Linked DNA regions of Nothobranchius furzeri. The protein of the gene in region 2 interacts with the protein of the main gene of each other region in a pairwise test. Links are inferred from orthologs where the notes say so. Each region holds a gene or a part of one and is shown on either strand. Other genes may lie near its edges.

What was found. The genes of interacting proteins can lie anywhere in the genome.
Region 1: the proteins of appl1 (region 2) and ube2o interact in binary tests that used the Homo sapiens proteins (3 or more experiments, as listed by UniProt). The two-hybrid records come from large-scale screens. The link is inferred for Nothobranchius furzeri from reciprocal best matches to the Homo sapiens genes APPL1 and UBE2O.

Annotation. Positions count from the first base shown.
Region 1 is NC_091747.1:74,405,714-74,409,367, forward strand, and holds part of ube2o ((E3-independent) E2 ubiquitin-conjugating enzyme), read right to left. Parts: intron 3,454-3,654; coding exon 3,394-3,453; intron 3,264-3,393; coding exon 3,153-3,263; intron 3,046-3,152; coding exon 2,948-3,045; intron 2,872-2,947; coding exon 2,808-2,871; intron 2,456-2,807; coding exon 2,312-2,455; intron 2,171-2,311; coding exon 2,061-2,170; intron 1,968-2,060; coding exon 1,817-1,967; intron 703-1,816; coding exon 645-702; intron 447-644; coding exon 287-446; intron 121-286; coding exon 1-120. UniProt on the Homo sapiens protein: E2/E3 hybrid ubiquitin-protein ligase that displays both E2 and E3 ligase activities and mediates monoubiquitination of target proteins. Negatively regulates TRAF6-mediated NF-kappa-B activation independently of its E2 activity.
Region 2 is NC_091743.1:68,844,723-68,847,971, reverse strand, and holds part of appl1 (DCC-interacting protein 13-alpha), read right to left. Parts: intron 3,037-3,249; coding exon 2,995-3,036; intron 2,053-2,994; coding exon 1,994-2,052; intron 1,432-1,993; coding exon 1,285-1,431; intron 1,035-1,284; coding exon 952-1,034; intron 869-951; coding exon 707-868; intron 340-706; coding exon 151-339; intron 71-150; coding exon 28-70; intron 1-27. UniProt on the Homo sapiens protein: Multifunctional adapter protein that binds to various membrane receptors, nuclear factors and signaling proteins to regulate many processes, such as cell proliferation, immune response, endosomal trafficking and cell metabolism.

The sequences.
Region 1 (3,654 bases), on a different chromosome or scaffold from region 2:
CTCTTCTTCTTGTGTTTCCTCTTGAGGTTGCGGATGGAGAGCGGGATGCTCTTTTTGCGGTTTGTTCCCAGACCGCCGCTCTGAGAGGATGCCGTGGAGCTGGCTGAGGACGTCAGAGAGCTGCAGAAAGATTCAGACACACACACACACACACACACATCGTTTTTCTTTATAACTGATGTTTAATGTTAGAAAAGGTCACACCCCCCACGTTAGGAGCTTCCTATGCTCAGATCTTTTAAACCAGACTAAACTGGACTCCATATTTAAAGTGGTCCCCACAGACCTGGTGTCGTCCGTGTCCTCTCCAGCCTCGTCATCGGCGTCCTGCTCCCCGTGCGCGGCATCACTGGTGTTCTGAGAGTCCGGCGGGTTCTGAGCGGGGCTCACCGGGCCGTTGGGCTGAGACGAGTCGGTCTGATCAGACTTGTGCTCTGCTGAATTTGCTTCATCCAGTTAAAATTTAAATTAGAAGGAAATACAAACACTAAAGTCAGCATAAGGACAGGAAACGTGTCTCTACTCTGCAGCTAAACTTTCACACACACCCCTCTGTAACGGCCGAGTGTGTGTGAGGAACGAGCTGCTGGTGTTAGGAGGACAAAACAAAAACTACAGCGCTTTCATGATCTGATTGTAAACACCTTCTGAGTCGGCGTTTTCTGTCTTCTTCCCAGAATCCTTCTTGAACATCCTTTTAAGCTGCAGAAAACACAAAGAGTAAATTAGCCTGTAAACCCAAACGGACCCAGGTCTCATTGTTAAATCATCGACGTGCTTCTGTTCCTAGGGATGGGTACCTTTGACATTTGAATCGATCCGGTACTAATTCCAGGTACCTAGGAATCGATACCGGTACTTAACGGTACCAATTTTAGATACTTTTGAGTGTTTATCATTTTAATTCTCTTTTATAATTAAATATATATTTTTCTCAATATATAACCATATTTGATAAATATCACGATAAATAACATTCAACTGTTTGTATTTTAACATTGTCCTTGTAGTTTTACAAGCTGATAATTAAACTGAAGCAAACATCTTTACTGTGAACTAAATTTACTGTGTATCTTCATTCCTTTTGCCGTCTTTTTTCATTTGATTTTTCCTACTGGGAAGTTAGAATTTCCGAGGAGAAAGCGAACGCACCATTAGCTGATAACAATGGTGGCAATGGAAGCTAACATATCAAGCTAACGTTATCTTAAACAGTTTATTTAACTGCTGGAGCAGATTAAAACGATGATGCCTCACACTTAGATCGTTGTCGCTGGTTTCATCTTCACCCAATCACCCGTCGCATTTAGTAAAGTGAAGCCAAACTTTAGAGCGCGTTCATGTTCTAGTCGAAAAATCGGAGTTCCGAGGAGAAAGCGAACGCACCATTAGTGAAACGGAAGCTAACATATCAAGCTAACGCTATCTTAAACATTTTATTTACCTACCGGAGCAGATTAAGATGAGGATGTCTCACTTAGATCGTTGTCGCTGGTTTCATCATCACCCAGTTACCCATCACATTTAGTGAAGTGGACCCAAGCGTTAGCGTGCGTTCTTTCTACCATGCTGCTCCGTTTACAACTGGCTCGCAGCGACCGATGACATAACGCTCTTGCGCATGCGCAGCTGTCTAGGCAAGTTCTCGTTATGAAGGACGGGTACCGAAACGAGGCACCGTTTGAAACGACGTGAATCGGTGCTCGGTCGGTACTATGGAATTCGGTCGGTACCTTAAAAAGTACCGAATTCGGTACCCAGACTGTTCCACATCTTGAACACAAATATTTAAAAATCTAAAATGTGTCAGCAGCACCTTTCTAGCAACGGGGTCCTCCAGCGGAACATGAGCACCCTCAGGTCCGTCGCAGATGATGCGCGTGACGTCGCCTTTGGCTGGAAAGATGTAGAGGGCCCTTTCCCCCAGCTGCCTCTGCGTGTGGTCGTAGTAGCCCAGACGTCTCACCCTAGAAGCAAACATCACATTCAGTAGGCTGGCCTGGACCCACAAAGGTCCGACTCTGATGAAGCGGATGCCGAATGAGACCGAGTGGACTGACCGCTGCAGGTCTTCCTGCGCGATGGTGGAGGGAGGTGGGTAAACACCATCTGAGCCTTTTGGGGAGTAGCTCTTTGTGATCCAGGTGACTTTTAACTCCACCACCTGCACCTGGGGGGGGGGGGGGGGGAGCACAAGTCTCCAAGTCAGCATTAAAAACATAAGAACCGGCGCTACCTGGAAGCTGAACAGGGAGGAAAAGGAGACGTATGTTAAAGTAAGAGTTGTCAGGTTACATGAGTGCGGATTTACCTCCTCCACCACAACTCTGAACTTGCATTTCCTGCTCAGGACGGGTTTGACCCCCGACAGCCACTGGACATTAGAGAAGACTTTGGCGGGACCGATCAGGACCTGGCCCGGGTAAAAACCGTACGCCTCGTCAAAGAACAGACCCTAAAGATAAAAACAGCACAGACACAACTCAGACCAGCTCTTCATGGTTCCACAGCAGAATAGTCAAGGATGGTTCTGAGCACCACTTTAACCTTAGACCGACATCTTAGATCCAAATATCTCCGGCTTTGTTCTCCCCTGAAGTGAAGAACAGGTCTCCTTCCAGGAAGAACCAACTAAACAACTTCTAACAAAAACTTATTTTTCGATGCTAAATGAAAAATTACAGTTTACACCACCATGAAGCTGAAAATAATCCGTCGTCCTAAATCAGGTTGCTCCCCACAGAGCAGAGAAAGTACTCCAAAGAGACCTGGACGTCAGTAGAAGACGGGAGCTTCAGGCTACGTACCGAGTCACTGACGTGTGGACAGACATCGTAAAGCTTGGCACCGTCTTCCACACTCATGGAGCACCTGGACAGGGGGCAGATGGTGAGTCTGACCTGGCATGCTCTAACGCTCTGACACACACACACACACACACACACACCTGGCTCCGTTAGACAGCTTGAGGATGATGTGATTGGTCAGGTCGTACACTTTGCCCAGCCAGAAGTCATAGGCTATGTAGTCTCCGTACATAAAAGACTAAAAACAAATAAAGATCATGTTAGTTTCACCAGGTTATTCATGAGCCTGCAGGACAGTGCGTGCGTGCGCGCACGTGCGTGTGTGTGTGCGTGCGTGTGTCTCACCCAGATGTGCTGCAGGTCTCTGCTGTTCACTGGATACAGAACACAGCTGGTTCCCACCAGCTTCACGGCACATTCAATGTCAATGTTGGTCACAATACCACACTGGTTGTCCTGAAATACAACACACACACACACACGCACGCACGCACACACAATGATCAATAGCAATGTGAATCGATGACATCATAGTGAAAGATTAGTGATTTTTCAGTAACATCAAAGACTGTCAGACTTCACTTACACACGAGTTGTTCCGTCTCACAATGTCTCTGATGACGATTGATCGATCTTCTAGTTTCAGCTGTGGAGAAAAGACAAAAAGGCGGAGAAGGTTGGTTAACTTCTCACTGATGTCATTTCCTTACAAACGAATCAGCCGAGGGTCTGAAGCTCAAACTGGACGTGGTTTCCTGGCAGCAGGAAGAGGACAGAAGCTACGGACATTAACCTGGCAACAACTCGGCTCCCAGTAGGAACCTAGTGCAATACTGCCGTCTCACTG
Region 2 (3,249 bases):
GACAATGACAACAGCGAAACATCTCACCTCCTCACATTCCCTCCTGCTCTCCGCCTGCAGAGTCACCACTCTGATCCAAAGCAACGAGAAAAGATCAAACCCCAGAAATCCAAAACCTCAAAGGCAACAGAAGACACCAAGAAAACTCACTTTTTGCCATCAAAGGAAGTGACCTGAAAGCAGAACCGGCGGTCATCTGAGTCGACGGCCATGACCGAGCAGTTGTCGAGGTCTGTGACCAGTCCCCCCGCAACCTCGCCTCGACCCTGCTGCATCAGGTTCCCTCCCTGAGTGAAGAAGTATTGACGTTCCCAGGATGACGACACCAGGCCGGTCTTACTGCCACCCAAGAGCCACAACACAGTTAGACTTGTAAATAAATCGTTCACAAAGACAGAACTAAAATCCTTTAATATCATTGGTCTGATTTGTCTGTTATTGACAGAATTATTTAAAAAATTATAAGAGACATTTAAGAAATGAAAGAGTTCTTATCTATAGCAGAAAAATGACAATAATGAAATCAGAAATAAAACTGCGATCCTGCACAGAACAGGATCTAAAGTCTCCAAATACTAACAAACTGTTGCTTTAAAAGACTCTTAAATAAATGTACAAATACACTTTATCACACGATCAAATTTTTATCAATTCATATTTAACAAGGTTTAAATAGACAAAAAAAAACATTTTGCAGCTCACTCACTTGCGAATGTAGAGATATCCCTGCTTCCTAGTTAGGCTGCGGACAACAGGTGAGTGGGCGGGGTCAGGGTCGCATGGTGTATACAGAGGATCACATGACCTTTCCATCTGCTGGATGGTCTGCTGCATCTGGCCCACTTCTTCCTCCATCTCCCGACGTACACTACACACACACATATTTATTTCTGACACTTTGGTTTTTATAAGAAACTTTTCTGAGAGGTTAAAGGTCAGTTGGACGCCTACTTCTGGACGCTGGTTCCTATCGTTCCCAGGAAGTCCTCCCACTGCTGGGTGAGATTTTCTGAGCCCAGCTTAAAGAAACTGATCTGCACAGATTAAAGACACGCCAGTAGGCAGATTATTCATTCCGCCCCGCAAGTGAGCTCTCCCTATGGGTTGTGGCCTTATTACCGGTATATATAATCACATACACAGGAATCAGGATGAAATTTCACTCTTTTGCGAAAAAAAAGTTTCATAGGGAGGTAAATAAACACTCGTGTTGAATTATGGTTTCAAAACTGGTTGTTTTTTCTGACTTCTCCGGTTTAAATGAGTGTGTGTGTGTGTGTGTACCTGAGCCTGCATGTAGCCCAGCAGCGGCTCCAGCAGCGCCGTCTTCTTCTTGTACTGCAGCGTGTTCAGAGCACAGAAGTAGTGCATCATGGTCTGGTGCTGTTTCTTGCGGGAGGTGTAGAGGTCCTCCACCAACTCCGACCGCACCTGCAACAACAGCATGGTCCTCATATTTCAGGAAGACGGATAACATTATTATTTGCTGAGATAATCTTGTTTAGTAACGATAATCATGTTGCTTTCAGGTAGCTGAACCTTGGGAGAAACCTGAACCTTGAATCAAACGTGGGAAGGTCAGGAACCCCTCATCACTTCCCTCCTTTAATCCCTTTGAAATGTAGGTTTTACGTCTGTGTTGGAAGGTTTTTATAAAAACTATCTAAAAGAACTTGTTAGGCAGAAACTGAATTTGAGTGGAAGCAACACGATGGTATACGGTAACATTGAAGGGTAGGTTGGATAATTCACAAACACATAGAAATGGGTTCTATTGGCAAATAATAGTAAAATTTTTCTTTGAATTTTATAAAAATAACTTTAAATTCAAATAAAAGTTTATTTTTATTCTTTAAACATGCTTAAAAAGATGTTTTGTGTTAAATTCTGACAACGTGTGTAAAAACATCACTTATTTAAATGAAAACGTCAGGGAGAACACATTTATATATGTTTTTTTTATTTAAATAAATTATAAATCCAACTTCCCCACCTTTTCGTTGTCCTTCCTCTTAGACAGGCGACTGTATCGGTTAATGGCTGTGTCATGATCTGCAGTAAAAAAGTAAACACTTTCATTTCCACTTTTACCTTTTAGATTAAAGTCATGACTTTAGGCTCCATAAACGTGAACGCAATTACTCCATAAAGGGATAATTGGGAGAATCCCACAGACATGTTTAAACAAGAGCAGGATGACCTCAGCTGGTGAAAGTTGTTTAAACTATATTGTATAAAGTAATTCCTGTGAGGAAAATGTTGAATAATACATAGTTAAATAATTCTAAAGTAACATTTCATCCATTTATCAAAGGTGTGGAACACTGATTTATTTTATACATTTGCAGTGGTCTCTAGAAGGAATTAATACCTTGGAAGTCTTACTCTAAGGAAAAAAGCACCTGTGTGCCCTTTTCAGGAACTAGAAGTGAGCCACATCACCTGAGCTGAACACAGCAGGATCTACAGTGGTGTGAAAAACTATTTGCCCCCTTCCTGATTTCTTATTCTTTTGCATGTTTGTCACACAAAATGTTTCTGATCATCAAACACATTTAACCATTAGTCAAAGATAACACAAGTAAACACAAAATGCAGTTTTGAAATGATGGTTTTTATTATTTAGGGAGAGAACAAAATCCAAACCTTCATTGCCCTGTGTGAATAAGTAATTGTGTTAGATGGAAGTGTCCATGAATGTTTAGTGACAGTGTGACGTAGATCTGTCAGGATTTTCTAATCCTAGAGTTTCACCGTCTGTTTTCTACCAGAAGCCAAAGCAGGAGATAGGTGTAGGGGACTAATTTCATGTTCAGCCTGCATTATAATGACAAATAACCATTAAAAATGGTTTTCAGTGTTCCACACCTTTAAAGGAAACACTAAGTGGGACTATGTTTAACATAAACTGAGGTTGCCGTGTTGGATCAGTCAAAGAAGAGATGACCTCTGGGACTTCTGGGAGAGTGAGAAGACACAAACAGATGAACTCACCATCACTGGCTATCTGGAAGACTTCTTTCAGGGTCAGGATCTCTGAAGTGAAAGAAAAAATGCATAAGGGATCTTTTTCTTTTTTTTCCCTTTTTCTGCCATGTTGGCTTCTGTCTATTTTTCACAACCTTAACACAAATGATGTAACCATAGTTGTTTTTTAAATCATCTTCCAACAGTAATGTTTAAACTCCTCTATGCTTTTCCCTGATCTAATATGGAATGCAAACCAAAACACAAACCAGGTTTCTAAAT